4 linked regions of the Notamacropus eugenii genome follow. The protein of the gene in region 1 purifies or fractionates together with the protein of each later gene. This does not show direct contact. Links are inferred from orthologs where the notes say so. Each region holds a gene or a part of one and is shown on either strand. Other genes may lie near its edges.

Region 1 (7,850 bases):
ATGCCAGCTTGACTATCTCTAAAAAATTGAATTAAAATCAGTTTTTAATTTTACACTGAGAAGTGCCTGTCCCAATATGAGAACTATGAGCAAGTTCTACAAAGGGACCATCTTCCCAACTTCTTTTCCCCTCTACATGTGCGTTTCTTATTAGGTAGGTGTTGGTAATTTATTTCTTTTTATTCTTAGTTGTTTCTTTATAGTGATAATTATTCTTTCTTCATATGCATTTATGGCATGCCTAGAAATGTGTTCTTCCTGACATGTTGGTCATATTCAGTGAGTACAAATGGCTAAGCCTTTGATTATTTGAAATTACATTCCAGCTTCACTGTTAAGGGCAACCTTGGGGCATGATGAGCTCTTATTTTGTTTTATTAATAGTTTATAAATTTCCATATGCAGAATTCAAAGTGAATCTGGGGTTCAGCCTCTAGACTATTAATCCTATTCAGATTTGGCTGTCTAAAAAAGTCTCCAATCCTGAGAATAGGGTTGGTCTCCAGCCCCTTACGGCAGTGGTTTTTAACTGGAGGTACAGAGACCACAAGCATAGATTTTAGGGGAGTCTGTGAACTTGGATAGGAAAAAAAAATACATCTATATTTTCATTATCCCCAACTGAAATTTAGCATTCCCTTTGATTGTGAATTTAGACCAAAAAACATTCTGAGGAGTAAAGAGGAGATTCATGGGCTTCACCTTAGTGCCAGAGGCCCTAGACACAAAAAAGGTTGAGTTCCTTTTTGCTTCAGGCAAAAAGTTTCTGCCTTTTACCTGAGGAAGATGCAAAGAAGGGAAAGTCCTGTTTTTTTCTAGCTGTCACAGTGGGAGGAGATACCTAGGATCTGAGAGGTTTCTCTTATGTAACTTTCCCCTAAGAAAGGAAGGAGGAGGAGGAGAAAGGTGTACTAATCTGCCAATTTTACTCCTCACTATGGTACCTGGAAGTAACATTTACAAAATAAACATGAGCAATGGTGGGGGAGGGAACTCTGGAAAGGCCTTGGGCTGAACCTTGAAGGAAAGTAGAAATTCTGAAGAACTGGTGTTGAGTAGTGCATTCCAGGCCTGAAGGGCAGTTTGTGCAAAGGCTTGGAGTTGGAAAGGGAAAGGCCTGTGTAGACAACAATAAATAGGCCAGTTTAGCTGGAATGAAAAGTATGGGCAACCAGCCCAGACAGGTAGACTGGAGCTAGATTTGGAAGGGCTTTAGTAGACCTGAGGAATAACATTGTCAGATTTGTGCTGAATTGACTCAAGGTATTGACAGCAATTCTTTTCTTGGAACAGTAATTGAAGCTATGGCACTTCTGTGTCCTCCAGCAAGGGAAGCCACTCTTTCTAAGTTAGTGGTTCATTTTTATTTTTTTAAACTGTATTTTAATGTCCTTTGGTATTGAACATAAGATCTGAGGGAAATCAAACAGGCCATCATTGCTGTCATCATCATACTGTCTTTCCAGGAATTCCTATGGAATTTTACTGTATGGAGTTCTACAGTTCAATCTAAAAACTTGATATTACTAATTAAGTTGTCTTTCAATTGTAGTTGCAAGTTAGATGTCATAAACCCAGTTCTATATGGCCTTAGTAAATTAGGGCCACTCACTGTGTTTGAGCGCTCTTTGTTTAGACCCTATATTTTTCATCAACTCATATGGCAACTCATCTATACTAGTAGAGGAAAGGAAAAGGTCCAAAGGAAAAGATGTGTTTAAAAATTATGAAAGGATATTTGTATAGTCCCCAGAAGCCTTGGGAGAACTGGAGATGGAATTGGGATGCTGTGGTCCTCTGAATCATATCTGAATTGGGGTGGTGTAGCTGTTCTGAAGATGTCTTCCTAGACTTCCACACATTTCTGATGTGTTATATAGATGTTCCTCCTATAGGGGAGTTTTGAGGTTGGTTATTGGTTGGTAGCAAGAGGTTACTTGTTATCTTCATATACAAAGCTATGCCTTGGGATCTTTGAGCACAGAAAATGACTGAGGGGGATGAGAGTATGCAACTGGAATGTTTCCCTGATAAACTCAAGGTTTGCTAATAAAGGGCATGTGGAGGGTCTTTTCTGTGCTATAAGGTCATCTAAGCCCAGATGGAAACCTATCTATGAAGTTATTATTGAGAAAAGTGGGGGAGACTTTGTATGGTTTTAGCAAAAGAGGATAATGCACATTTTTTTATAAGACGCATGCCAAGTGATGTGGGTATGAACCTTCCAAGGAATTTTTCCTTAAATTATCTGGCAAATACCAGAAAAATGGCCTTGGGTTCTTCTTCCAAGTAGCAAGGCCATGGCCTTGGGATTCTGCATGTGAAATGCTAACCCAGATTCCGTAGGGGAGAGGGAATAAATTTCTACTACACAAAGGTCTTAACAAGGTCTTATTTATTAATACCACTGAACTGTGTATAAAGATATGTATACATGTGTACAGATACTTGTACAGAGCATGAGCAGAGATTCTCCATTGGGTTAAACATATACATTTGACGCAGGGATGAAGTGTTCAGTGCTTGTAGATAGTAAGGCAGTCCCCTTATTGGTTGCTGAGAGGTAAGAGTAAATAGCTTAATATCTGGTACAAGATCTCGATTTGGGGGGTTCTGAGTGAGAGTGAGCTAAGTGAACACAGCATCAGAAGTAGGTTTGACATGAATATGGTTCATCTTCAGGAGCAGGGAGCTACCAAGTTGCCCAAGGAGGAGTGAACAAGTCCAAGTTCAAAATGGAGGTCAAAGCTTCTGCGTCTATGAGCAGTGGAATCAGCCCAGGAAGAGTCTCTGTACTTTTAGCATGGACAACATAGAGACAATCAGTCTTTTTTAAAAGAAGAGAAACAATCTAAGGCATTCCTCAGAAAATAAATGGGCAAAGCATACGAACAGGCAGTTTTTAAAGGAAGACATCCAAGCTATCGACAATTACATGAAAAAATGCTCTAAATCACTAATAGAGAATACAAATGAAAGCTACTCTGAGATTCCACTCATACTTTCCACAATGGCAAGGATGACAAAATCAGAAAATGACAAATATCAGAAGACCTCTGGGAAAATACACTCACTGATGGTGAACCTGCCAATTGGCCCAGCCATTCTAGAAATAATTCTGTTGTTCAGAAAGTTACCAAACTCTCTATATCCTTTGCCCTAGCTACATCACTACCCTCTAAGAAATCAGAGAAAAAAGGATCAGTGTGTGCAAAAATATTTATAGTAATTCGCTTCATTTTAGTTCAAAATTGTGAGACAAGGAGGTGTCTTCCTACTGGGTATGGCTGAAGGGACTGGGGTACATATGAATGTGCCAGCTTAGATGGTGAAAGGCCTAACTCCAGAGGTAACGGGGAGGACCTTCGTCAGCTGAAGCGTGACAAATCCCAAGTCCCAGAAGATGAACAGGTCGGCCCATCCCGATAAAAAGGGGATCAATTTAAAATGCTGAAACAGGCCCCGGCTCCGGAGGCTCTGCTCTCCAGTTTAAAAAAAATACTCGGTGGGATGGAGTGGGAAAAAAAGGTTAAGGGGAAAAGAACTTGCTCCTGAACAATAAGAATGGCCAGCTCGGTAACAAGACCGCAAGGTCATCCTGTGCGTGAGGCTGTCGTAGGGCCCAGTGTGATTTTCTGTTGGAGACTAGGGCGGGCTGGGCAGACCCGAAAAGAAGGATATTAAGGAGAGCTAGGCCTTCGCGGGCGCTTCCACGTGCCAAGCACCGTGCTGCCCTACGTCATCATCTCATTTCATCCTCACGACCGCCCTGGGAGGGTTTTACAGATGAGGAAACTGAGGCAAGCACCACGGAAGCAGCTTGCCCCAGTCCCGGAGGACCCAGGGGGGGCCACGCGGCGAGGAAGGAGTCCGGGGGTCCCCTACCATGGCCGGCCTTGCTCAGATGTCGGGGGGCCCGGATCCGCCGGATCTGAAGCGGGGAGGCGCATGGGGAGGGAGACAGGCGGGTTGAGGAAGAGTCCTCTCCTGGTCCCTGGATCGTAAGCTCCACGAGGGCAGTGATACCTTTCCCCGAAGGCCGGACCCCTCTAGGTGCCTCATCAGCCCCAACGGTCGCTGGGGGGAGGGGCGGCGGCCTCAGCCCTTTGACGTCCCAGAGGGCGCCGGAGCGTACGTGGATTTCAAGGGGGGGAGGGGAGGGCCGCCACTAGGCGGGTGGGCCCAAGGCGGGGGCGGCGGAGTTTCCCCCACCGTCGTTCACTCGGCGGCCGACAGATGGCGCCAACGGCCGCAGGCGGCCTGAGCGTCTGCCGAGCGAGCGGAGAATTTTCGGGAAGGTGGCGTAGGGGCGGGGCGTAGGAGGCGCAGGGCTCGGGCAGACGCGGCAGCCGCCCCCACCGCCGCGGTCGCCGCCTCCAGCTCACTGAGTTTAATGGTGGAAGGGAAGTGGAGCGTCGCCGCGTAGCTCCGACGTCTGACGCACTTCCTGTTTGTTGTTGGAGAAACGGAGAGAAAGGAAAGCGCGAGGAGTCGCCGCCGCCACCACCAGCACCACCAGCACCACCAGCAGCGCCGGAGCCGAGAGGAGACCGCGGGCTTCGCCGCCCAGCCCCTCCTCCCCGCCGCCAGCTGTCAACCCTCTTCGGGTAAGGAAGACCCCTGTCAGGGCCCGGGGCTCAGGGAGGAGAGGTCCTGGGCTGAGCCGCGGCGGGGCTGGCCGGACTTGTCCCCGGCGCCTTAGCAACGGCGGTGTTGCTGACCCGCCCAGCGCGCCGGCTCCCGGGGCCTTGCGGCCTGCCTGCCTGCGCGGGGCGGGGACTCGGAGTGTCTGCTCCCAGCCCCGACCGCCGGCTCGGGTGTCCTTGCCCGCCGCCGCCGGGCATCCGGCTCTGCGGCCCGGGCCGTTGGGGGAGGGGGTGGAGGACGCGTCCGGGCGCTCGGGGCCTCGCCGAGGATTCTCAGCTCGGCCCCCACCCGCCCTCGGACTGGATGGGGAAGAGGCTGAAAGCCCCCGGATGGTCGGGGGTCCTTGGGGGGGCTCTCGTTGGTCTGCGGGGGAAGGCGGAGGGATTTCTTCAGTGTCCCTAGCTAGTGCAGTACCTCTCTTCCTGTCATCGCGTGACCAAAATTAGGCCCCTTCTCCCCCAAAATGCAGTTGGTTAGATGAGAATGTGAGCGCCTGACCGAGATGGGCACGACGTTTGGGTGCCCTCGGGCATTTTTCTCGTTCACTCAGCATTTATGGACGGCCTACTGTGTACTAGGCCCGGTGCCAGGGGTGCGCTTACCAAGAAAGGCAAACACCGCGTCCCTGCCCTGGAGATAGAGAGAGGGCGCCGGAGGTGGAGGAGCCTGTTGTGGGCGGTGAGGGGGTCCGACGCTGCGGAGACGGAATCTGAGCGTTCGCTGCGGAAGGTCGGGCTGGAGTCTGCGAGGGTGGCGGGGAGGCGAGCGGAGAGGCCCCGCAGACTTTGGGGGCGCAGGTGGGACCGCTGCCCCTCTTTCAAACCTTTTTTTTGGGTAAACTTTTTATTAGAATAAAGGCAGGAGTTGGAGGAAATAAGGTAAGAGAGGCAGGGGAGATAATAGCCGCTAGTAGAATTTGTTTGGTACTTCACAGTTTACTAGCCCTTTATTAGTATTAGCTCATTTTATCCTTGACACAACCTTGGGAGATAGGTGCTGTTTGATGAGGAAACTCAGGCAGATAGGCCTGACTTCAGATCCATCGAATTATAAAACTGAAAAGTAAACATCTCCTTCTCAGTGGTATAAAAGTAACTTGTAGTTCGGTTTTACCTTAGAAAAACAACCGATTTGGCAGTGCAGTTCAGGTTGTATAATTCCTGGTAAAGTAGTGGTAATCAGTTTTTAAGAAAGTATAAAAGAAGAGAAATCTTAAACCACTATCAAATTTGTTCACTCCGACTGTACTTATGAAAGTACGGTTTCTAGTTGTTTACCTTTTATAGAATCAGCAAGTCAAATAAATGAATCTCCAAAAGGTATTAACATTGGATAGAAACAGCAAACAAAATTTGGGAAATAAGTAAAATGTAATATATTTCCCTTAATTCTGATGTGGCTTTAGACACTTGCTCAGATTTGAAGTTAGGAGAGAAAATTCAGCTTGACTGCCTGCTCACTGTAAAGTGTAGGTACTAAAGGGAGAATTTTGCTTACATAAGAGCAAAAAAGGAGTGTGAGGGTGACAAGAATGAACAAAAAAGTGACTTTGTAAGTAATTAAGTGTTTAATCGAGATTTTGAATTGGCCTACCCTCACCTCCTCTCAGTGGTTATCATCATAGTTTTACACCTGAAAGAAGTGGGCTTGCAAGCTGTTTTTTTGCTCTGGAGGTCAGAATGATCCAAGGAGAAAGATGGATGCCATTCCAGTAGTAGCTACTGAGATGATTAAAACCTGGAAAAGTAACACGTTAGTATGTCAAAGATGTTTGATTGAGTTTAGGAAATTCGTTCAAGGAGGAAATTCTGCCAGTGCTTATCAGCACTATTTGATAGTAGAAGTTGCTACCTCTGTAATTTAGGTTCTCAAAGAGTTGCTTGGGACGTGAGGGTAAATAATTTGTCTGGAGTCACATAAGTATGCCAGTTAGGGTTTACATCCAGATCTTCCTACTTACAAAACCAATTTTCTGTTCACTTTTTGATACTGACTCCCATAATATGTCTCCCTCCCCCCCCAAATGATTTAGGAAAAGTGGGCTCTAGGGAGTGTTACATATATGTACCTTTTTAAGCAACAGGAAATAGTGTAATATAGAACGCATTAGACTGATGGTTGGGATGTATCAAGTCCTATTCAACCACTTGTGACCTTGATAAATAACTTATATGCTTCTGTTTCTTTATCTGTAAAGAATTGAGGTCTTAGCTCTAAACTAGGTCTTGGCTCTAAAACTTTTTACTGAATATATTTTATGAAACATCAAACATCTCATTCTTTTTAAATGCCTCAAAAATCTCAGTTTCATGGGTTTAGATATACTTTACACATACACTAATTCAATCTTTTCATTGCTTTAATGGACAGTTTAACGTAGGGATTCTTAATCTCTTGTGTCGTGGATCTTTCTGGCTATCTGGTGAAACTGTGGAGGACCTCTTACTAGAATGTTTTTAAATGCATATATTATATCAAAATAACAGTTGCCAAAATGCAAAACAGAAAACAAAAATCATCAAGCAAATCCCCCCCAATAGTTTGACACTTTCCCAAACCAAGTTAAGAATTTCTGATTTAAAGAATTGATGTACCTGCAAAAAAGTAACCTGTGAATTCTCTGTGCCTTTCTAAACTTCTTTTGAGTGGCAGTCCTTCACCTATTCAGGCCCAGAAAGAAACCTTTCCAGGAGGTACAAATTTTGCTCTCTGGTGTAGCCCTGGGTTGTTGTTGTGTCTGTCTTTCCTTACTGAAGACCATGACATCAGAGAAATGATGACATGACTTGCACTTGACTTTATTTTGAGTGAGGGAGGGCTATGCAGGTCACCAGCCTCACTTTTCCAGAGCCATCTGAATCCAGTGACCTGATATTCCTCTGGATGAACTGGAGATGACCCAGGATACACTAGAAGACCTTGGCCCCTTTAGGCCGAGGTCTATGCAGGTACTCACTTAGAGTGAGGTAACGCCCATTCATTGAATAGTCCTGTTTAAGAAGTAGGCAGGACATGGCTCGTTTTTATGAGGCTACATCTGGGATGGAAACTGCAACAGTTACTATTGATAGTCTCGAGAAATTACATTTAGGTAGGAACATGGAAAGAGGCCATTTGGTAGTGTTCAAAGGGAAGAGGCAATTGATTGCCTCTTAAAAAGATTTACTGCGGAATTTCTGAACATGTAAGTTTGTAGGAGATTT
Region 2 (8,169 bases), on another chromosome or scaffold:
AACAGTTGGGTTATTTCTAATAAAATTGCTTTTATACTTTTTCATAGCAGTCTTTTCTGTGAAACTATGGTTTCTTAAGTTTAGTAAAAAAAATTAGTTCCCCTTGAAAAATGCCATTTCCATCCCTGTCTCCCACTATGAGGGTATGGGGTTAGGTGATTTTAGCAAACTCTAAATCTACAATTAGATAAACTCACATAGGAAAATCTGTTTTTTACACACACATACCCATCACTCCTTTACCATAATCACTATGAACTTGTAATTACTGTGTTTATGATGGTGGAATAAGTACCATCGTAATTAACCCTTATATCTTGTCTAGATGAAAAAAACAGGTCTCTTCTTGTCTTCCTTATGAGGCTACAGTCTTGTAAAATAGCTCTTGATTCTATATTCTCTTAAGAGATCTGTAATTGTCTAGTCAAGCCTTTCAGTACCAGGTGGGCCATGCCATGAGTATATGTCTCTTGCCCAAAGTGAGGTTAGCTAAGCTCAGAGAGCTCAGTGGTTACCAGGTGATGATTTTTTAAGCCATTGAAACTCACAAAGACTTATCTACAAGGGAATAGAGGAGTTGTGATTGGTGGTGATGGAGGCAGGACTCACACCCACAAAACCACCTTGCTTTGAAGTACTGCAGAGTAAGTATGTCTATCATTCAGACCCAAGAACAGGGATAAAGATTGATGGAGAAGTCTGTGCCTGAGCCAAGACCTCAACTGTCCAGAGCTCTGAGGAGTGCTGCCATTAGGAATTGAGTGGGTCCTTTCATTCTTTTTCTTAGTGGGCAACTATTGCCCTTGTTTAGGCTTTAAGTCATAGTTGCCTGGGACAAAGGTTGCTTTATCTTAGCAGCCCTATAAAGGTTATCCATAATAACACCACCAGAGGCCACACTTAATCATCATGGCTTAGGGCTACTTAATTGAAGAAGGCTTGGGAGCCTCGGTGCCCTTGGCTTCAAACACCAATTTGAATCCACAGTCCTCTGTGCTGTATAACTGGGATGGCTTGAAATCTCCAGAGCTCAGCTCTAACAAAGAGTGTCTGCAAGGGCCTATAAAAAACAATGCCTATAAGGGTTAAATCATAACAATTTTACAGACTTCAACCAACATATTTATTTATTAGTTACAAAAACTACTAAAAAGTTGAGAGGCACAAGATATACTAGATAGTGTTGGGAGCAGAGAAGATCTGAATTATAGACCTGCCTCTAACACATACTAGATGTGGGGATCATGGGCAAGTCCCTTCTTACCTCAGTGCCCCAGGAAACTCCCTAAGACTGTGTGTTGCCGACAAGTGGTAGATATGCATTTTTGGAGGAGTTTTCATACTGAGAGTTCCTTATGCTGATGAAATCACAGGTCCAGACACCCAACACAAAATAAAACTAGTTACAATATGAACTGTATTTGGCAAAGAAAGACATATAAGAATTTAAAATGCATTTTGAATTTGACTTGCAAAGAGGCAAAATGAACCCAGCCTATAAAAAGGCCCTTCTCAAGTCCCTTCTCCTCTTAAGTCTTCCTAGACCATTCAGTCTCATAATGACATCACTTTCCTTTGACCTCAACAGTGATTCAGCAATTAACAAGTCATATCCTTTATGACATTTCTTGTGTTTTGGTATAGTGCTGTTATTTAAGACCTGTTTTGGTGTCTAGAGGGGCAATGAGACAAAAGGATAGAGGGCTAGCCTTGGGGTCAAGAAGACCTGGGTTCAAGTTCAGCTTCTGACATTACCTGTATTAACCGCTGTATAATCATGGGCAAGTAACAACCTCTCAAGTCCCAAGATAACTCTCTAAGATGATAAGAAGCTGATCTATATCAAATGGAAACTAGATACCTTGATGAAATCAAAGGTAGGGGAAAAAAATTATGTAACTTTTTATTTTTATGCCTTATCTCTGCAACTAGATCATAGGCCTTTTGTGCATGATCATGGACCTTAATTTATATACTTCCTCCTAACAAGAAAAAACAGAGAATTTTAGAGCTAGAAGGCACCTCAGAAGTCATATTTTAGTGCCTTCATTTTACAGATAAGAAAATATGAGACCCACAAAAGTGAAGTCACTTGCTCAGAGTTACAGCTGGTGGGTAGTAGAGTTGGAGTTATCCCAGCTAATGGTAGATTATACAACTGGAACTAACAGAGATAGAACTGGGGCTATATAATCCGGGTTTCCTGACTCCTAAAATGATGTTCTTTCCCACTATTCTATCTTCCTTGAAATTATAAATCCCTTGAGAGAAAAGACAATGTCCTATACTTATTTGTATGCCTTCGCCCCCAGCCCAAGTGCCTACAGGGGTGGGGAACCTTCAGCCTCAAAGCCACCACATATGATCTTCTAGGTCCTCAAGTGCAGCCCTTTGATTAAATCCAAACTTCACAGAACAAATCCTTTTAATAAAAGAATTTGTTCTGTAAAACTTAGACTCAGTCAAAAGGCTGCATCCAAGGACCTAGAAGGTCACATGTGGCCTCTAGGCTGCAGGTTCCCTATCCTAGCTGACAACTTCCTGCGCATAATAATTTCAATAAAAATTTACTTGATTGATTATTTTTAACATGAAATGTTTCTTGACTATTCTTGGGACACAGTTGACTTGACTGTATGCTTACGTGAGGTAAATATGTTCCTATCACATTGTGCTGTTAGCTGTGCAAAGAGAATTGAAAATCATCTTCAACTGAATGCATTTATCAAAAATCCAGTTGGTACTATGTGAGGCATTGTCATAAGAATTATGGATCTTATACCTACATAGCCTCTTATGACCTCACAATTTAAGGTGAAATAGATGTAGGAGGACATCTTTCTCTGCCACTTAATACCTGTGTGACCTTAAGTAAATCAGTTTACCCTTTCTTGGTCTCAGTTTCCTCATCTGGTAAAATGAGGGCATTAGACTAAGGTTCTTCTGAGCTCTGAATTGATGATCTAGTGACAAGAAAATAGAGATGTTATATCAATCAGATGTTTATATCATATATAGATCAAGTATAATCATATTTTAGGGATGAATAGCTAGGGTCAGAATAAAATTAGGCTGGATAGAATTAGATGTCCTGTATTCATACTAAATAGAATAAGAGAGAAGCAGTGCCTGTTCTGTTAGAATTTATAATCCATGATAGCCTGTGGACAGATGTCAAGCACATAAATTAAATATGTAAGTTAAACATTTACATTGTATTGACAGTTTTATGAACTAAATACATAATTTCCTTGAGAGCCAGCTGCTGTGGTGCTCCTGTATTGTAAAAGTGTTAGGCAACATTGTGTGACTGGAAGACTTGCCACAGACCATTTTCAATATGTCCAGAAGAACTGGGGATATGGGATCAGAGTGACCACTGATAGTCACCCTCCACTGGTAGTCAGTACAACATTGTTTCCTGCATTGTAAAACCATGTAGGGCATTCTTCTTTGAATTTATATGATTCTGATATCTCAGCCTCTAATCTGTAGGGTGGAGAATTAGACTCAATATTATTACACAAACCATTTAGATGATTCAAGGGGAAGAATGAACTGACAGAATTTGAAATTCTAGGTAACAACCATTTCAACCCTTTTCCCAGTCTGGACATAAAATTTTCGTAGAATTACTGAAGTGCAAAGGCTTCCCATCTGGGAGTTAATGAAAAGATTAGTTGACCTTGTTTCCTTCTTCACAGATGCACATCAAGATTGATATTTCTGCTTTTGTACTTTAATTCAACATATATTTTGTTTAATGGCAATCAACTCTTAAAAAATAAAGATAATTTTTCCTCTTTAAAATGGTTCATTGAAAAATGAAGTTCAGTGCTTTGTATTTAATATTGAACAGTCTTGGTCCAGAGAAGAAATGAGGAAATTCTCCCTCAGATCCTTGGAGAAGTAAGGGCCTATAGTATGGAACATTCTGTTATTGTCCTGGGTGATTTGGTGTGTTGATTAATTTTGCTTAATTGTTCTTTGGCACAAAGATTGGGGTGAATGGGGAATGGTGGTTGAAGGACATGTCCTGAAAAACCTGTAATGTAAAAACAGAACAGGAAGGGGTAACTGACTTGGGTGAGAAAAGTAGGGGAAAAGCTTTGAATTGATGGAAGTTATTTTTTCTTCTTGGGAATGCACAGGCTTCAGACCTACAAAACGCCTTCTCTTTGGGGGAAATAATGTTAGATCCGATTTTCCACGACTCTTTGGGATATAGAACTCAAGCAGAACTACTCCATGTAGCATATTTAACATTTCTTACCCCCAGAAAACTCAAAAATACTAAGGATGAGATTCAAAAACACAAGGTAGGAACCAGGACATCTGCATGTGTTTTCTCTTAATCTTAACCTGCTATGAAATAGCCATAAAGAATGGAAAGGGAAAAATGAAACCTTATTAGCTAGCTAGCACACGAATTAGTTACTGGGAACGCTTCAGTTCTACAAACATCCAGTCCAAATGCCATCATTTTGGGCAATCCCTTGCCATTTTCTCTTTTTAAAAAGAGTCAATAGGCCCACATTCCCAATCAGATTTCTTTTTCGACCGGCAGTCGGAAGGGGTGGGTTGCTACTGAAAAGGCCAAATTTTCTTCAGTTATCCAGCTCTTCTCCCTTTCAACTTACAAACGGGAGCCAACTGCAGTCGAGTAAAGTAAAGGCAGGCTAAAGCAGCCCCGAACCGGAGGCCTAGGTGGAAAGACTAAGGGCCACAATAATAGCCGATGACTCAGGGCGGAGCTCTGCATCCTGGAAAAGGGGCACAGCCAAGTCTGCTGGATGGAACCAGAAGTTTCTACTGAGCCAGTTGCTTCCTCCTCGCTCTCTTCGTTATCTCCTCCGTGCCTCTGCCCCGGGAGGACTATTTCCAGATACTTCCAGCTCTTTCCTCTCACGTCACTCCACCATTAATTCATAAAGGTGCTCGGAGGCGGACTTAAGGACACCCTTGTAGCCAGCCTCCTTCGCCTCCTCTTTAACTTCACCCTCCCCCCGCCTCCGCCCTGTCTAGCCCAACCCAGTTCAACTCGCTCTCCCCGCCCCAGCCGAGCCCCAGCCCCGGCCCCAGCTAGTAGCAGCCTCGCCAGCAAGCAGCAGCGGCAGCCACAGCTCTAGACACAGCAGCAGCAGAAGTCACCGCTACGGTAGCAGAAGTCGCTCCTTCGGCAGAGCATGAGCGCGGCCACTCACTCCCCAATGGTTCAGATGGCGACCAGCAACAGCGGCAATGGCGGGGAGCGAGACCCCTTGCCACCAGGCTGGGAAATTAAAATCGACCCACAGACGGGTTGGCCATTCTTCGTGGATCACAACAACCGGACCACTACATGGAACGACCCGCGCGTCACGCCCGAGGGGCACAAAGTGAGTGGTCCTTCCTCCCCCACGACCTCTGGCTTTGCTTACTCTTCACCGCGGGGTAGCCACCATTGGAGGGTTGGGGGCTTCGGAGGAGAAAGCTGAAAGGACTGGGGAGGGACGTCTTTGGGGATAGGACAAGGAGTAAGGAGTACATAGACCTCCCTTCTCTTCCGCTTTTGGTTTGTTTCGGGGAGAGTGTAGCACGGGGCAGGGAAAGTTGGGAGCAGAAGGAAGAGCCGTAGGGCGGGGATCGAGATAGGCCGGGTGGTGGTGGTGGTCCGGGAATGTGTCTGCGTGTGCGCGCGCGCGCCCTGCTGATGTACAGGTTACTCTGTCCAGCGGCGTGGCAGTGCGGAGAGGAAGGAGACGTGGGGGAAGGACCGTAGAGAGTTCTGGACAAGACATGGGCGGCTAGGCAAGTGGTAGAGAGATCGGGCCTGGAGACCGAGACAGATTAGCCAGGTCACTGCAGGGGGGGCGGGGAGAGGCAGGGAGATCGGGCACGGGGACTGGCCAGGGAAGGGCAGGAGGTGGAAAGGGCATTCATTGGCAAGCCCCTTGTCTCCCCACCCTACCCCACCCCCCAAGTAGAAAGCAGGAGCTGCCTTTTGTCTCTGACGCACTGCAGCTCTTCTTAGTGCGCTAAATCATTTGATACTTTAGCCCTGTAATGTTTATTTAAAGTTGGTTAAGTCCACCCGAGCAGCAGAGACACAAGGGAAACTGATTTATTCTTCAGCTGTGTCCACAGGTTTAACAGCGGACTACGTACAGCGCAAAAGGCACACAGACACAACAATTGAGTAGGGTTGGCTGTCTTCTTTTGCTCCTTTTGCAAGTTGCCTGGGAAGTTTTGTCTCCTGCCTAGTTTGAATGTATGTTCACAGGAGAGAGGCATTTCTATTCTAAATAAGTCCATAGATAGAGATGCTTGTGAGAGAGGCAGTCAGATGTAGAGGAAAACCTAGAGGTTCCAGATTTAGAGGACCTAGATTTGAATTCTAGGCTTTACCCCTTATGTGGGTGACCTTGGGCAAAGCACTCAAGTTCTGTGTGCCTCAGTTTCCCCATCTAAGAAAGTTGGACTGGATGATTGATAAGAATTCTTCCTGTTCAGATCTCCTGATCCCTGTTATATGATTTCTGAGTTACATTTGGTCCAGAAAAATGTTACATTGAGTTGCCATTTTTGCTATCAGTTGACAAGATAAAAGGACACGGTAACTTTCATTTTAAGGAACAATCTAGTCTCTTGATATTTTGTGGTGCTTGTATTGTTTAGTTTTAAAATTTCCATTCTTAATGAAAATATCTTTAGTAAAACTGTCTCTAGCTTGGGGTGGAACACCAAGAAGCAGTGATTCAAAAAATTCTATCTTTGTGTCAGGGCCATGCCTCGGCAGGTCTCTGGAGCTTTCTGAGCATAGTGGAAAAGCTAGAAGAGAAAGTCAGAGGTTGCTAAGGCCTATGTTGAAAGAAGTTTGGGTGGACTCTATGGAGCCACAACATTTGGCTCAGGGCCTCCAAAGCCTGGCTTCTTTAGCTGCCAAGGAAGGTTCCTGACTCTTCTTCTGAAATGAGTGGAAACTTCCCAGCTGTCCCCTAAAAATGGTGGGCAGGGAAGGCAAGCAGTGTTTTTCTGTTGCCCACTCATGCAGCAGCAAAAAGCAGAGTCCAGCTAGCTGTGAAGGTGACTCTCCTTGTCTCAGCATTAGGCCAGCAGCACATTTGCGGCTTTTCAGGCCTAGCTCTTGCCAGAGTACTTTTGCTCCTAAGCTAGGCTCCTGGATTTACAGGAGAGATATCATTTTAGTATTGTTAGTAATGGGCTTTTTTGTACCTTTACTTTTATATTACAATTAAAGCTAAATACCCTAAGAAAAAAATAAAACCAACTCTTATTTCCAACATTTAAAGAATGTAATTGAAGAAGGAATAGTCAACACTTCATAATAAATACTAAAGTCATAGCCAGAAGGTCAATAAAGCAATAATTTGAATTAATAGAAGGCACTCAAGTATGAAAAAAAAGAATTTAGGGAAGTATAACTAGTATTTTAAGAAAAATTTTATTGCTTTTTCCCACATGAGTCTACCTACCAAGCCTTGGGTCTCAGTTTCTCGAACTACAGATGGCCTCAGATTATCCCCTCTAGTATCAAGATTCCGATGCTATGATCCCATAATCTTAGAACATTGAGGAAGCTCCCTTATCCACAGACACTAAATTCACAAATAATTAATTGTGTACTCATTTCTAAAAATTAGCACAGCTGACTAATTTTCTATAATTAACATCCGACATAATTGTATACATGAATTTTTGAATGTGCAACCACTTGGGTGGGGTAGAAATCATCTTACGGAGATTTTGTATTGTAGCTGGGTTGGCATTTTAAATCAGCTTAGAAGATATCAGGTAGTTATAGAACATTTATTTTGCCATGCCATTTCTGTATAGACAAGCAGCTTATGGGAAACCTGTAGAGATCAGGAAAACTCAAGGCAGTTATTAATAAACTATCAAGTTTGAACATTTACTGCATGTGTTGAATGGCGTAGATAGTCTGGCATTTTGTTGTAAACATGAAACTGGTCTAACAAGTCCAGAAGGCTATGTGCAAGAAATGTCTGCCCAATACATCATGTAGGCTGTGGCTTAAAAAAAAAATCAGATCAGATAGGAAGGGCTTTGGTTTAAATAAATCTGAAAGTCTATCACTTTGGGAAATAATCATTCACTTTTTAAAAGCACTTTCCTTAAAAAAACAGTGTAGGTAATAGAAATATTATG
Region 3 (8,086 bases), on another chromosome or scaffold:
CCCTCCTCGGCTGTCTGGGGACTGACCCATCTTTTTTATGCTCATGCCTTTCTTGGATGATGTCTTATGTTACAATTGTACTGTCTCATAATGTGAGAGTGGCATAGGGCACCCTGACCTCACAGTGCCTGGGACTGGAGTGAACTCTAGGTATGGGGACATGAGTGACAAAGCAGAGGGACTGATGATCCAGGCAGATATTTTAAGGTTTGTCAGATGGCCGCTGACAGAAAGTAGTTTGGTTCATCAGAAATATCTGCACACCACACACACACTCTCACACATATACATACCCCTCTCTCTGTCTCTCTGTGTCTCGGTCTCTCTGTCTCTCGGTCTCTTTGTCTTTCTGTCTTTCTGTCTCTCTGTCTGTCTTTCTGTCTTTCTCTGTCTCTGTCTCTGTCTGTCTGTCTGTCTCTTTCTCTCTCTCTCTCTCTCTCTCTCTCCCCCCCCCTCCTTCCCTCTCTCTTCCTCCCCCCCATCCAGTCAGGACTACATCTCCCAGCATCCTGAGTCCCAGCCCTCCCCTCCGCCCTCCTCCCCCCTCCCCTCACGTCCTATCTCCAGTTTCCCAGGACGCCTGGGAATTCTCAAATTAGCCATTCACTCCCAGGCCCCACGTACTTGAACCGCCCCGTCACCTGTTGCTGGAATCCAAACTCAGCACTAGAAATAGCCCCCTGCCTGGCTGGCCCCCCAACCTGCCTCAGCTCTTTGCAGAAGTGACCAGCTCGGCCGCCCAGGGCATAGCCGGGTATGCCAGGGCCTGGAATCTGGTTGCCAGCCAGCCGTCTTCTGGCATGCTTCCTTCTAGCCCACAAAGAGTAAAAAGTGACTTATGTAACATGTTAGAGTTTGCAAAGCACAGGACCAAAGTTCACCCACTGAAGGAGATCTCAGAAATCAACCATCCTCAACCCAGCTTTTAACGGGGAAGGAAACTAAGACCCAGGGAGAGGACTGACCCAAGGTCACACAGGCCGACAAGTATCTTGTGACAGGCACTGGGCCAAGCCCTGGAGGAAAACAGCTTCGGACAAACAGGCTTAACGGGATGGGTAGGAGATAATTGGGAGCAGGGGAGAATATAGAATTGAGGGGGAGCAGGAGTCTTCTTGTAGAAGGTGGTGCTAGCTGGGGCTAGGATGGAGACCCAGGGGTCCCGACTCCCAAATCCTGCATTCTCTCCACTGGCCTCTGTGATTCTGTTGGTCCAGGAGCGTTTGAAGGCTACAGAGGACTTCACATAGGTGTTCAGGGTAGTTTAGCAGGAAAGGTAAGCTGGTGCTGTATTTATAGTCTCAAGATCTGAGTTCAAGTTCTGCCTTTTCCATTTACTGGGGGTGGGGCATGAGGCAAGTTCTTACCGTCTCTAAGCCTCAGTTTCCTCCTCTGTCTAATTAGTGGGATAGACTTAGACAACCTCTGAGAGCCTTCCAGCTTGAAATCATCTATTTCTCCTCACTTAAATCCAATTCACAGGCAAGTCAAGAAAGATGACATCATGATAATCAAGTTTAATAAAAGGGAAAGGATGTATTAAGGACCTACTATGTGCCAAGCACTGTTACTAAGTCCATTCCATTCAATAAACATTGATGGATCACCTACTGTGTGCCAGGCACAGTGCTAAGCCCTGGGAACACAAAAAGAAGATAAAGACCGTTCCTGCCTTCAATCTAATATATCCAAGGTGAACTACAGCCTGGACAATACAAAAGAATGAGGGAAGGCCCTGGAGCAAGCAGGGCTTGGAGCAGGCTTCCTGTGGAAGCTGGAGTTTTAGTCCTGCCTTAAGGAGTAGTGGGAGTGCACGAGGGGGGCATGTTCCAGGTCTGGGGGCAGCCAGAGAGGATGCTGGGACAGAGGGGTCAGCAGGGGCCAGGACAGGGAGGAGGGGCCCGGCTATGAAGGCTTTGAATGTTAGGCTGAGTGTGGACAGACATGATCTCAAATCACCAGTCTTTTGTCCCTCTCCTAGGCTGGCAGCACCAGGTAGAAAGGAGCCAGAGAGGGGGAGAGGAGCCCCCAGGCTGGGTCTGTGCCCATGAGGACCAGGGCAGGTGGCAGGAATCCTGGGAAATAGATGGCAGAGAACTGAAATGTAAGTAGAAATCTTTTCCCTCCGGGCCCGGTGGCAGCTCAGCTCCTGGAGGAAAAGAAAATTCAGGATGACTTTCTTTACCTTCCAGTCTGAGAGATGTGTCGAAAACTTCCTGGAAAGTATACAGCAGATGGCTCCGTCAGTCTGTCAAGCAACAGGCATTTATTAAACTCCTACTGTATGCAGAACACAGACACAGACTGCTGTATGAAGAATGGATTGGAGAGAGAGGAGAGACTGGAGGCAAGGAGGCCAGTTAGGAACCTACAGATGATGAGAGGAGTGAGTTGTAGCTGGGTCTGACTCTTCAGAGTAAGGGGGATCACAGAATGTCAGAGCAGGAAGTCATCTTGTCCAAGCTAGCTTTCCTACCTGATTAAATGGTACTTCCTTTCCCATGCAGTGTGGTCCGGCCAAACTAGCTTTCATACTGTTCTCTCACACAAGACTCTCCCACCTCAAGTGTTTGCCCTGGCTGTACCCCGTGCTTGGAATGTCATCCCTCCTCATCTCCACCTCTTAAAATCCCTTGCTTTCTTCAAAATTGTTCAAGGAACACCTTCCACATGAGACCCTTTCGGCTCCCTCCCCAACTGTTAGTGTCCTCCCCATCGCTGCCCCACCCCTTCTGATTAACCTTGTATGTACCTTTATTTTGGGTTGATTTATTTATGTACAAATGATCTCCCCCAGCAGAATGCAGACACAAGTGGTAGATACAGTATTCATATGAGTGCCAAGTCAGTGATGCCCACAACTGGGCTGTGAGGTCACCGTGTGGGGTCACAGTCCTTGTTTCCTGATGGGCATCATAGGACTGCCTTTGGGGGACCTGAGAGGGGCTTCCAGGAAAATTAGCACTAAAACTGTATTATATAGACTATATCAATGTATTCCATTTCCCTTACAGTATGTATTCCTGGGGTGTTTTATGATAGCTAGCATTTATAGAGTGCCTATTATGTGTTAGGCTTTACCATTATTCTGTATTTAATAAGAAGTGGTCAGTCTTTGGTTTAAGACAGACATCAAAATGACCCTTCTATTAATTATCCAATAGCCCTCATTAATAAAATGATTGTTAATTACCCAGAAAAAAATAATAAACAGTTGTTACTTTACTCATTGAAATTTCAGCCATGAAGGTATCTCCTGGTGTGGAATTGTCCTCCGCTCATGCAGGTTGGCTACTCTGTGTATAAATGTGTATTTACAATTCTATTCTATTAGCAATGTTATACATAATATGTAATCTTAGATGCACATAGTTCTTCTCTCTGTGTGGGGCCTGGGCCCTGGGCCCTGGCTGGTCAATATTTTGATCACTTTATTCCAACAGAGTTGGTCTCCTTTGCAATCCTATGTATTTGCTCTGATGCATTTGAAAACCTGATTCTGAGAAAGGCCCCCCACGTTGTCCCAGGGGTTCAGGACACGCAAGAGCCTGGGTCAGAATCAGCTATGAGGACCTATCCTCTCTCTGATATGTTGTGATCTCTCTTACATAAGGAATGGCATTCAGGTCATGACTGCCAGGTTATCTGGTGGCTGTGGCATTCCCACTCGGGTCCCGGGGCAGAGTGTGAGGCCCTGGAAAGAGAGTCTAACCCTCAGGCAGATCCAGCCACTTCTCCTGGCCTGTTTCCTCATCTGTAAAATGAGGGGGATGGGTTTGCTCCCATCCTCACCAAGACACAGGTGCCAGTGCCCCCTCTGTCCCCAGCTCACACTGAGGCAGGGCTTATGGATCCCATTCCCACTCAGCGATCCTGGGGCAGGTGCTGCCATAGACCCCGTTTCACAGATGGGAAACTGAGGCTCAGATTGACTGGTTTGCCCCAAAGTGACAGAGTTGCTCCTAATAGGAAAGAAATAAGCATTTATTAAGCGCCTACTGTGTGCCAAGGACCAGTGCTTAACTGTGCCCTTTACAACTGTCATGCATGCGAGTAGGCGCTTTTATGATCCCTGTTTTCTAGCTGGGGGCAACTGAGGCAGTGGGAGGTGAATGGCCTTGCTAAGTGCTTTCCCCGGCACCCCACCTCCGGTGCAGAGCTCTAAGCGCCCCCCACACCCCGCCCCCACACGGCAGCCCATTTCACAGAGGCCGACCCTGCCCCCTGGGACCCCTGGCACCCCTGGCACCCCTGGCACCCCTGGCCCTGCCCGGACTCCTTCCGTGAGCCTGCGCAGTTTGAGAGGGCAGAGTGTATCGGGGAGACGCTCGGGGTTATACCCGAGGGCGCCCCCCCGGGTTGCGAGAAACGAGCACCTCCAGCCTGGCCGGAGCCTAGGCACTCCCCACGAGTTAAGGGAGCGGGGGAAGGGCCAAGGCCGTGGCAACAGTCTGCTCGAATGGCAGCAGGAGCGACCTATCAGAGCCAGGCGCTTGGAGACCCTGCGCCCAATAGAATCGCTCCTTATCGCTGGCTCTGACGTCACTGTGCCCGTCAGTCCAATGGGAAAGGTGGAAATTTCCAGAAGGAACTGGACCAATGGGTGCGACCAGCGCCAGCCAGACCGGCGCTCTCGCCAACCAATGAGTATAGCAGACGAACGCCTCTCTGCCAGTCGTCAAGCAGGCTCTGGGGCGGGCCGTGCCAAGGAACGCCCAATGGCGAGGAAGAAAAGACTAAGGGTGGAGCGAATCGCCGTCCGCCGTCCAATGAAAGGAAGGTGCCCATGAATGGCGGAGAAGTCAGCCTCTCGGAGCGCTAGGGGGCGGGGCTCGGAAGGAAAACTCCACCAATGGGGCGGCTACGAAGGGGCGGGAGCCGGGAGTCCCGGCAGCTTCTAGTAGGTTCCAGAAGGCGGCGCGTGCGGCTGGGAGCTGGGCGCGAGCGGGCTGGCGGACGGATTCGCGGCTGCCTCGGCTCCGGCCCGGGCCATGGAGCAGGTGAGCGGCGGCCGGCGGGCGAGCAAGGGAGGAGGGCGAGCCGGGGAGAGGTGGGGGGGCGGTGAGGCCCGGGGCCGCCGCTGAGGTAACTGAGCCGGGGCTGGGGAAGCGACCGGGGCCCAGGGAGGGGCGGGCGGGCCCGGCCGGGCCAGGGTCAGAGGGCGGTTATTGGGGTGCCCAGGGCAGATTGAATCTGAGGGGAGGCGACGGGACCCAGGACTGGCGGGGGAAAGTACTGGAAGGGGGGAAAGAATGGGGGGGCGAGAGGGGGAGGAGCAAGGCCTGGGATGGGGGGGCTGTGGAGGTGGGGGGAGGGGAAGGGTCTGGAGGAAAGGCGAGCCTGTTTCAGGGGGAAAGGAGAAGGGCTCTTGGGCCCATCCGGGGTAGAGAGACCTCCAAGGTTTGGGGGTTAGCCCGAGGAGCCGAGCTAAGAGACAGGAAGTAAGGGGGGGGGGGGCAGAGGCAGGACTCCCAGCGGGGGGTCCAGGTCCGAGGAGGGCAGGCCCTCGTGGGGCTCCAGGGATGGGGGGAGGGAGTCAGCCCGGCCTTCCGTGAAATCCATGGGGGGTAAATGCAGGAGAAACTGGGAACTGATTGAAGTAAAGGGGGGGCAAAGTGAAGTCAATGGGGGCGCCCCGAGGCAGGCTCTCTGTGCCTCTGGGGCGTCCTAGTGAAGGTGCCTGGGCCTCAGGTGGGGGCTCTTTGGGCTCAAAGGCTTTGAGGAAAGGGGCCCTGGAGCAGACTAGGGGACACCCCCCCCTTTTAGCTGGACACAGCAGAGCTGATGCTCGGGTTGGGACCCTTCTCCAAACGCAGGCTGCCTCCCCAAGTTTTTGGGTTCCTCGGAGGTGCAGTGATGGGATGTAAGAGGCCGGGTCAGTACCAGAGGCCCTGGGTGGCAGACCAGGCTTGTGGGAGTGAAGGGAGAGGTGTCTCTGTTGTGGTAGGACGACAGGACTTGGCTTTCTGGCTCACTCTCGGGGGCCTGGAGGACAGGAAGGAAACTTGGAGGGTCCCATCTGGGGTAGAGTGGTCTGTGGGCAAGCTAGCCTTGAGTGCTTAGGTCTCTAACATTTAGATACCATCTAGGGTTCCTCCCTTACACTCGTTTCACAGATAAGCAAGCTGAGGTTGAGAAAGGGATTGGTTCGGTACCCCACATGGGTGGGGACTAGAATCCAGGCCTTCCTGCTGTCTACCCTCTGTCTCTACATCCCAGGTCTGAGAATAACCTCATCCTCGCTGCCGGATGGGTTTGTGTGTTGTCTCATTCACTTTATGGTTAGGAAAGTCCATGAGTTGTAAGAAACGTTTGAACACCACAAGCTGGAACGTTGGGGAGGGGGGCGGACTCAAATCTTGAGAGGCCAGTCTTTTAAGTTAAATTTGTAGCACAAGTCAGGTCAGACTTTTCCACTTGAGCTCCCCTTTGTAATCGCATTGGGGAATCACCCACACTCAGTGTGCTCTTTTTATTTCTTGACTGGCCCAAGCTTACCTGCTGAGTGGGATTTCTCGCTCCTTCCTCCATCAGACTTCAGAATCCCCAAGTTAGAAAGGCCTTTTCAGTCCCACCTGTGCCTGAACTGCAACTCTCTCCATACCTGCCACAAAAACCAGGAGTTACATTGGGAAGGCAGCCATTGCAATGTTCTTGTTGTAGTGTTCTTACTAAGGATGGTTGCATTTGAGCTTTATATTGGCTTTTCATTTTAAAGGATGTACAAATGGGGGAGAGAGGGCACTTTTCAGATTAGGGATAGCTGTTTCCCTGTTTGAGGTTCTGCCCCTCACACCCATGTGTGAGAAGCTGCCAGCCTTTCCTCAAAGGCCCTTGTCTGCTGGTTTGAGAGACATCCTGAAGTGGTACCACAGACCCTCTCTCATGCATGGTCCTCCTACATTTACTTCAACTGGAGGTTAAAAAAAATGAGTCATAGATTTGGCTGAATTAAACTGAGCAGGGGGCAGGCTTTATTTCAATCTCCCAAAGTGATCTTAGGGTGCCAACCCTCCCCTTTTTCCCCCTATTCCTTCGCCATTTGAGAGAAAAGTGTTTGCCTGTCCTATGGATGGATGACTCATGACCACTTCAACGAGGGGAGGGTTCTTCTTAGCCTCAGGAACATGGTCTAACCATGCCAAAGAAATGGCATCTCTTCACTCTGGAAGTAGGAAGTCTTTCCCAGTTTTCCAGAAATCCGACTGAGACACCATAACAGAACAACATGTTCACATGCTCTCTTTGCTAACCAGTTCCAGCCCCAAGGGAATCAAGAGAGTCTCTGTTGGACTTTTGGGAAACGTGACAAATCCAAACTGCCCTTTTTTCCCAGGTTAATCCCTAGGTCAGTCCCACAGTTTTCCTTTTGAGCTTATCTCTGTGCCTGCACATTTTAGATCTCTTGATTCAGTGAGGAGTGGGAAAATTTGAAAAGAAATTAAGCTATTCCAGCCTGCGAGGGAGCCTCTATTTACTGTTGTTACCCAATGAATTTCAAGGTCCAATTCCATCTTTCTGTGTTTTGGCATAGAAAGAAGCAGTTAATTTTAGATTGTGGTCAAGTGGAGTCATAGAAAGTGTTTTGGACCTGGAATTCAGAGAGACCTGGATTTGAATCCAGCCTCTGATTTAGCTCTGTGGCTAGATGAGCCATTTAATCCTCGAGTTTCCATTTCCCCATCGGAAAAATGGGATTCATGCCTGTGGTACTTGACAGGGTCATCCTGAGGTTTCAGAGAGGTGTGTATATGTTCAATCCTGCAAACACTGAGAACTGTTTGTCTGAGCTCATCAGGGAAGGGGGACCTCCATCAGAGCAGCAGATTTCTACCTGGAAGGCCAGCCTTCTCCATGGAAAAGCTCCAGCCATGCAGTGGCCTTGTATTCCCACGAAGAGCACGTGAGGGAGTGAAAAGCTGGAGTTGAGGGACTTGGCCCTGGTGACTCGCCTTTTACCTCCTCCCTTTCTCAGGTGAATGAGCTGAAAGAGAAGGGCAACAAGGCCCTGAGTGCCGGCAACATCGATGACGCGCTGAGATGCTACTCAGAGGCCATCAAGCTGGACCCCCAGAACCATGTGCTG
Region 4 (7,838 bases), about 110 Mb from region 1:
TGACCATGTGGTCAGTTCTTCAGGGTTTGGTTTTTTATTTTTGTTTTTCAATATTTACTTCAAGAAGATTTTGAATTCTAAATTTTCTTCCCCTCCCCAGACACCCTGCAATCTGATATAGGCTCTATATATACATTCATATTAAATGTATTTTCACATTAGTCATGCTGTAAAGAAAAATTACAACCAATGGGAGGAACCACAAGAAAGAAGAAACAAAAAGAGAGAGAACAAATAGTATGCTTCGATTTGCATTCAGGCTCCATAGTTCCTTTTCTGATTGTGGACAGCATTTTCCATCATGAATCTTTTGGAGTTGTCTTAGATCCTTGCATTGCTAAGAAGAGGTTAAGTCTATCAAAGTTAGTGATTTCACAATGTTGCTATTACTATGTACAATGTTCTCCTGGTTCTGCTCACTTCACTGTGTATCAGTTCATGTAAGTCACCCAGTTTTTCTGAAGTCTACTTGCTCATCATTTCTTTTTTTAAATTATTTTATTTGTTTTCAGTGTTCTGCAATCACTTCCATATAACTTAGATTTTCCCCCCTCCTTCCTCCCCTTTTCCCCTACCTTCCCCCTCCCTCCCTGAAACAGCATACAATTTTATACATACATTCCTATTTATTTATTCCTATATATTTACACATACATTCCTATTAAATGCATTTTCACCTTAGTCATGTTGCATAGAAGAATTAAAATGAATGGGAGAAATCATAAAACAAACCCGAACATACAAAAGAAAATGATCTGCTACATTCTACAATTGAATTCCATAGTTCTTTCTCTGGATGTGGAAGAGATTTTGTCTTAAGAGACTATTAAGAATTTTTTAAGTCCTTGCATTGCAATGAAGTTCTAAGTCTACCAGAAAAAATCCTCATACACTGTAGCTGTTGTTGTGTACAAAGTTCTCCTGGTTCTGCTCCTTTCACTCAGCATCAGTTCATTTAAGTCTTTCCAGGCCTCTCTGAAGTCTTCCTGTTCATCATTTTGTACAGCACAATAGTATTCCATTACATTCATATACCACAATTTATTCAGCCATTCCCCAGTTGATGGGCATCCCCTTGATTTCTAGGTTTTGGCCACCACAAAGAGTGCTGCTATAAATATTTTTGAACATGTGGGACCCTTTCCCATTTTTATGATCTCTTGGGGATACAGTCCTAAAAGCAATATTGCTGGGTCAAAGGGTATGCACATTTTTGTAGTCCTTTGAGCATAGTTCCAAATTGCTCTCCAGAATGGTTGGATCAGCTTACAGCTCCACCAACAATGGATTAGTGTTCCAACTCTCCCACATCTTTTCCAACATTTATCATCATCCTGTTTTGTCATGTTAGCCAGTCTGATAGGTGTGATATGGTATCTCAGAGTTGTTTTAATTTGCATCTCTCTAATCAATAGTGATTTAGAGCATTTTTTCATATGATTATAGATAGCTTTAATTTCTTCCTCTGAAAACTGCCTGTTCATATCCTTTAACCATTTATCAATTGGGGAATGACTTGTATTCTTGTACATTTAACTCAGTTCTCTACATATTTTAGAAATGCGGCCTTTATCACAGACACTAGTTTAAAAAATTCTTTCCCAGTTTTCTTCTTCCCTCCTAATCTTGGTTGCTTTGGGTTTGTTTGTGCAAAAACTTTTCAATTTAATGTAATCAAAATTATCCATTTTTACTTCATAATGTTTTCTACCTCTTGTTTAATCAAAAATTCTTCCCTTCTCCATATATCTGATAAACACCCTATTCCTTGCTCCACTAATCTGTAGTATCATTCTTTATACTTAGATCATGTACCCATTTGGACTTTATTCTTGTGTACACTGTCAGGTATTGGTCTATGCCTAGTTTCCACCACACTGTTATCCTGTTTTCCCAGCAATTTTTGTCAAACAGTGAGTTCTTATCCCAGAAGCTGGGGTCCTAGGGTTTATCAAACAGTAGACTGCTATATTCATTGACTACTGTGTCTTGAGTATCTAACCTATTCCACTGGTCTACCCTTCTTTTTCTTAGTCAGTACCAAGTGGTTTTGATAATTGCTGCTTCATAATACAATTTGAGATCTGGTAGCACTAGGCCACCTTCCCAAGCATTTCTTTTCATTAGTCCCTTTGCTATTCTGGGCCTTTTGCTCTTCCAGATGAATTTTGATATTATTTTTTTCTAGTTCTACAAAATAATTATCTGATAGTTTGATTGGTATGGCACTAAATAAGTAAATTAATTTAGGTAGAATTGTCATTTTTATTATTTGCTCATCATTTCTTATGGAACAATAGAATTCCACCACATTTGTATACTATAACTTCTTCAGCCATTCCTCAATTGATTCCACACAATTTCAAATTCTTGGCTACCACAAAAAGAGCTGTTATAAATATTTTTGTACATGTGGGTTCTTTTCCCATGTTAATGATCTCTTTGGGATATAGACCTAGAAGTTGTATTGCTGGGTCAAAGGGCATGCAGTTTTATAGCCCTTTGGGCATAGTTCCAAATTGCTCTCCAGAATGGTTGATCAGTTCACAACTCCACAAATAACTCATTAGTATTCTAATTTTCCCACATCTTCCCCAACATTTATCATTTTCTTGTTCTGTCATGTTAGTCAATCTAATAGCTCTTCAGTTCTTAACCTAGAGGTTCACACTTCATAAAGAGATCAAAATTATGAACCATCTCATTTACACATTTAACCACATCGTTGCCTTTAGGTTGATTGTGTCACATTAATTGACCACATACTGCCCAACTAGACTCTAAGTTCCTGGAGGTCTTATCTAAACTTTTTATCTTCACCCCTTCCCTGACTACCAAAATTGTTTCACATTTGTTGAAGGAAGGGAGGAAATTTAAGGTTAAGAGAGCAGGAAAGAGAAAATTTGGAGGTCAGGAGTACCACAGAGCTGGTGGACTGCTGCATCTGCAGGGTGAGCACAGATTTTTGCAGTTTTTTCCCTTTTATTATCAATAAAGTTTCATTTCCTTTTATTCTTACTGCCTATGAGGCTTTCTGTTTCTGCTATTATTTCCCGCCTTCTCAGTTTTTCCCACCTATTAAAATGGAAATCTCCAAAAGAAGTTTTCACTAGCATTTTCCCCGATTCAGTAATATACTCCTTTCTCCGGCATTCTACGCCCCCCCCCCAAAAAGAGGGGGTATAATGCCAACTGTCCTTTTCCTCAGGGTTTGATTGTTCCAACCAGATGAAGGATCAGGTAAAAAGAGTCAGGGAGGTGAGAGTTTGTATATGTTTTGTGTAAAGTTCAATCTAAATTGGGCAAACCCCCGGAGGGGAACAGGCAGGCTGACCCAAGAACCAGAATATCCAAGGTCGACCTGAGGACACCTGCGTGCTCAGCTCAGCTCTGGCCCAGGTTGGGGGGGGGCGCGGTTGGAGGGTCCGGAAGTCGTTTCTGCTCTGAAATCCAGCTTCCCCTCCTCCAAAATAATCTGGGAATGAGCCCTTTGGCTACTGCACTGTCCGCCACGACCCCTTCTGTCCTGGCTCCTCTTAGGGGCAAACGCCTGCGAGCTGGGACACGGGCCGGGAAGGAGAAGAGCGCCCATCTGGAGGGTTCTGATCCCCAGGCTTCTCCCTTTACAGAGGGGGTCACTGGGGTACCCCCCACCCCCGCAGACGTCCAGTGAGAGGACAGAGCCCTCCAGTGGCCAGTCCCTGGGCTGAGGCGGGCTCAGGGTTCAGTGCCTCGAGCTGAGCTCCCCACTCATTGCAGCAAAACGAGTCTCCGTCCTTACACTGCCCGGCTCGCCTCTGCCTGGGCCTGCGCGGACCTGGCCCCGGCCCCGGCCCCGGCTGCCCCGGCCCCGGCCCCTTCTCCCCCGGCTCCCCCGGACCCTGCTCCCCCTCCTCTCTCAGACACCTGCCCATCCCTCTTCCTCCGATTCCCCTATAGGAAACCTCCCCCACACTCACAACAAACCCGCTCCTGCCTCCTCCTCCTCCTCCTCCTCCTCCTCCTCCTCCTCCTCCTCCTCCTCCTCCTCCTCCCCCTCCTCCTCCTCCTCCTCCCCCTCCTCCTCCTCCTCCCCCTCCCCCTCCCCCTCCCCCTCCTCCTCCCCCTCCTCCTCCCCCTCCCCCTCCTCCTCCTCCTCCCCCTCCTCCTCCTCCTCCTCCTCCTCCTCCTCCTCTCCATAGGAAACCCGTCCATCCTCTTTTAGAAATCTCCCCTCCCTCTCCATCCTACCCCGCCCCGCTATAAGAAACCTCCCTCCACATGGGGCATCTCCCCCTCTCCTCATAGGAAGCCTGCCCTCCCTACTTCGGCCCTATAGAAAACGTGCCCCTCCCTTCTCGTCTAGATAGTCCCCCCATACCTGCCCCTCTTTTACCAGAAATCTGTCCTCCCTTTTAGAAAACTTGCCCCCTCCCCTTGGTCTTCCTCTTCCTCCCCCCATAGGAAATCTACCATCCTCGGCATCATCCCCCCGCCCCCACCTCCCTCCTTCTTCCAGGGATCACCCCAAGAGACCCCAGTCATTTCCTAAGTGTGCGGGAGAAGAGGCACCGCCAAAGGGAAGCAAATACAGGCCAACCCCTGCGGGGCACCTCCCCTGGCCGGGTCGGCTGTCAGGGAAAGCCCAGAGGGGCGGGGGCGGGGAGAGAGGACTGGGGCGGTGACGTCACTTCCGCCTGGGCCTGGCAGTGGCTGAGCCTGGCTGTGCTCGGCGGCAGCAGTAGCAACCGCGGCGGCAGCGGGAGGAGGACGAGGAGGAGGAGGAGGAGGCGGAGGAGGAGAGAAGGAGGGAAGGAGGGAAGGAAGGAAGGATCGTCGGGCCTCCCCAGCCGCCTCAGCGCGCCCCGGGCCCAGCGGAGCACCCAGCCAGGGCCGCGGCTCCGCGGGCCTGCGCCACGCACAGGATCGGGCCCGGCCGGATGGGCGCCTGAGCCTCGGGCCCCCAGCGCCCTGGATCGGGGCCCGGTGAGGGTCGCGGCGGGGGCGGACGCGGGGCAGCCGGGCCCCCCTGGGCGTGCGAGGCCGGACCTGAGCGCCGGGAGGGGAGAGGGCCGGGCGGGGGAGGGGCAGGGCTGGCCTGGGCTCCGAGTGGGGAAGGGGCCGGGAGCCGGGACGGACCCATCGGCCGCCGGGGTGCCAGGTTAAGGCTGTGGGGGCCTGGAGTGGGGAGGAGGCAGGGCAGGGTGTGGAGAGGAAACCAAGTGGCCGGGGCAGTTAATGGAGCGAGGGCCCTGATGTCGGGGGAGGGACGGACAAAAGGAGGGGGCTGCCAGCCCGGACAGCAGGAAAGAGTGGCTGGCCTGGAGGGGCCGGACAAAAGGAGCAGATATGGTGGTATTTATTTTAAAATATTACTGTCCAGCACTGAGAGGAAGGGAAGTTGGGGAGCCGCTTGCACTCCCATATTGGATTATGTGGGCATCTGGAGGAAAGAGGCTTCCCTTCAGTCTGCATTATGGTGGGCATCTTGAGAGGGCTTTCCAGTGTTTGCATTATGCTGGGCATCTCAGGAGAGAGCCCTTCCTCCTATGTGCGGGGTGGGGAGCAACCGTACTGTGAGAGCCATTGCACTGGAGGCCCCCTCCTGAAGGTAAGGTGAATCTGCTTCCCTGCTGGCCTCTTACCCCTGTTTCCCATCTCCTTTCCTCACCCCTCTAGTTCAGAGCTCCCGGAAGCTGAGAGCAGGATGTTCCGGTTCATGAGGGACGGAGAGCCTGAGGATCCTATGTTCCTCATGTGAGTCTCCCCCCCTCACCCACAGACCAGGACATTTCCAAGCCCCAGCCCGGGAGAAGCTGGGAGACTCTCTTTTGGGGAGTCAGAACATTGGGTTTTAGTGTTTGCTCTGGACTGCAAGGCAAACACCTTCTCTCTTTGCCTTCCTTTCTTTGTGTTTTAATTTGAGAAGGAAGGAACCCAGTCATGGGGCTTGTGGCCTTCCTGACATGATGCCTTTTGTACTTTTACGCAGGGACCCTTTCGCTATTCACCGACAGCACATGAGTCGGATGTTGTCAGGAGGCTTCGGTTACAGCCCTTTCCTTAGCATCACAGATGGGAGCATCCCAGGGGCTCGACCTGCTGCTAGTCGAAGGATGCAGGTAACAGGGCAACATGTTTAAGACTCTGCCAGGCCTTGGGATTGGGAAGGAACTTGAGGAAAAATCCCTGCCCTTGCCTCATGGGGGCAGGGGCGCCAAATTCCTCATGCTTAAACAGAGAATGGGAATAAACTTGGGGAGGTGGGCCTAACCTAGATTTATAGGAAAGGAGAGGAGGTCGCAGTGGGGGAGGTATATTTTCTAATTCTACTCCTTGTCCATGCATCTGTAGGCTGGAGCTGTCTCACCCTTTGGGATGCTGGGAATGGTAAGTCCTCATTCCCCCATATCTTCCTATCCTTTGTTCTTTATTCCCTTTCAGTACTGTTTTCAGATCTATCCCTTTAAGGAGTCTTTAGGAGTGATTGTAGTGGTGTCTCCTTGTCTTCTCCCCCCTTTCATATTATTGAGTGTTCACAAAGCTTTAAGCCTACAGTGTTACATATTTGTTAACTGTGCCCCCATGTCCAGAATCTCTAGAAAGGGAACTCTTTTTCTTTCCCTTTTTTTATGAGTTCCTATTTTGTTGTTATGTGTGTGTGTTGGGGAGCAGTTAGTATTGGTTCTTGATAGGTTAAAAATCCACTGACTCTAGGTTGAGTTGTTAGAGGAAAGGGAAGGTAGGGAAGCCAGGAAATGGAGAAGAATGAAGCCAGAGGAGGAGGAGAAGAGGTCAGTGTTGTTTTAGCCAGTTTGGATAGGGAGATTCAGGGTGTGGATAAAAGGATTTAGAGTTGGAAGGGACCCAGATTTTCTCAGTCACAAAAACCCCAAAGTCAAACAGGTATTCGTTGTAAGGCTAAGATTTGAACTCGCGTCCTCTGACTCCAAATCTAGTGCTTTTTCCATAAACCACACTGCCTCCCAAGAGGTCTTAGAGCAGATGACCAGGTGTGAGGGGGAGAGGAAAGAGATAGCATTATAAAGGTCCCAAGCCAGTCTTGAGATTGGAGAAGAAACCTGGAGTATATTGATTTGTCCTGAGCCTTTTCTTCTAACTCTCTTTCCCTAGACAGGTGGTTTCATGGACATGTTTGGGATGATGAATGATATGATCGGGAATGTGGTAAGCCTTTTGCCCCTAGTCTTTTTAACCTTTTGACCTTAAATGACAGCCTCATCCCGAGGATTCCTCTTTTTCTATAAAAGAACTCACTAAAAAGTTAGACCCTTGAATTCTGGGTTGGAAGTTGGCATTTACATGAAGACATGAGATCAGGTGCCTGCTCAAAAAGCTTGCTCAAGGTAGACATTTCACATTAGGCATCCAGTTTAGAGCAGAATTCCTTCAATTGCATCAAGGTCACTTGTGAATTCTCACAGTACTACAATAGAGACAAAGTTAAAAACAAGCTGAGATGCTGAGACTCTCTGGTGAGGGTGGGATCCCCTCCCTCACCAACTACTTCAGCTCCAGCCTCCCTCTTCTTCAGGAGCACATGACAACTGGAGCCAACTGTCAGACCTTTTCATCCTCCACTGTCATCTCCTACTCCAACCTGGGTGATGGTGCTCCCAAAGTCTACCAAGAAACATCTGAGATGCGCTCAGCACCAGGTGGGGTAAGTGCTGTGGGGAGGTTGTAGAGCAACTCTGAATTCACAGTGTTGGACTGGCTCCCGCCGCTCTCCAAGCAAGTGGTGCTCGATGTCATGCAGAAGAACACTAGGGTGTTTATCAGAATTGTCTGAGGGAAATTTTGACCACAGGAGCTGTCAGTAGAAATTTGGGTGCAAG

Evidence for each region.
Region 2: the proteins of DNAJB6 (region 1) and BAG3 purify together in Homo sapiens (co-immunoprecipitation; 3 studies listed by BioGRID and IntAct, with this or other methods). This does not show direct contact. The link is inferred for Notamacropus eugenii from reciprocal best matches to the Homo sapiens genes DNAJB6 and BAG3.
Region 3: the proteins of DNAJB6 (region 1) and STIP1 purify together in Homo sapiens (affinity purification with mass spectrometry; 3 studies listed by BioGRID and IntAct, with this or other methods). This does not show direct contact. The link is inferred for Notamacropus eugenii from reciprocal best matches to the Homo sapiens genes DNAJB6 and STIP1.
Region 4: the proteins of DNAJB6 (region 1) and MLF2 purify together in Homo sapiens (affinity purification with mass spectrometry; 3 studies listed by BioGRID and IntAct, with this or other methods). This does not show direct contact. The link is inferred for Notamacropus eugenii from reciprocal best matches to the Homo sapiens genes DNAJB6 and MLF2.

Annotation. Positions count from the first base shown.
Region 1 is NC_092874.1:87,372,922-87,380,771, reverse strand, and holds the start of DNAJB6 (dnaJ homolog subfamily B member 6), read left to right. Parts: upstream 1-4,477; 5' UTR 4,478-4,607; intron 4,608-7,850. UniProt on the Homo sapiens protein: Has a stimulatory effect on the ATPase activity of HSP70 in a dose-dependent and time-dependent manner and hence acts as a co-chaperone of HSP70. Plays an indispensable role in the organization of KRT8/KRT18 filaments.
Region 2 is NC_092872.1:199,785,264-199,793,432, forward strand, and holds the start of BAG3 (BAG family molecular chaperone regulator 3), read left to right. Parts: upstream 1-4,791; 5' UTR 4,792-5,186; coding exon 5,187-5,378; intron 5,379-8,169. UniProt on the Homo sapiens protein: Co-chaperone and adapter protein that connects different classes of molecular chaperones including heat shock proteins 70 (HSP70s), e.g. HSPA1A/HSP70 or HSPA8/HSC70, and small heat shock proteins (sHSPs), e.g. HSPB8.
Region 3 is NC_092873.1:17,036,434-17,044,519, forward strand, and holds the start of STIP1 (stress-induced-phosphoprotein 1), read left to right. Parts: upstream 1-4,873; 5' UTR 4,874-4,991; coding exon 4,992-5,000; intron 5,001-7,975; coding exon 7,976-8,086. UniProt on the Homo sapiens protein: Acts as a co-chaperone for HSP90AA1. Mediates the association of the molecular chaperones HSPA8/HSC70 and HSP90.
Region 4 is NC_092874.1:195,042,014-195,049,851, reverse strand, and holds the start of MLF2 (myeloid leukemia factor 2), read left to right. Parts: upstream 1-4,654; 5' UTR 4,655-4,965; intron 4,966-5,658; 5' UTR 5,659-5,686; coding exon 5,687-5,736; intron 5,737-5,971; coding exon 5,972-6,101; intron 6,102-6,333; coding exon 6,334-6,369; intron 6,370-7,113; coding exon 7,114-7,167; intron 7,168-7,534; coding exon 7,535-7,663; intron 7,664-7,838.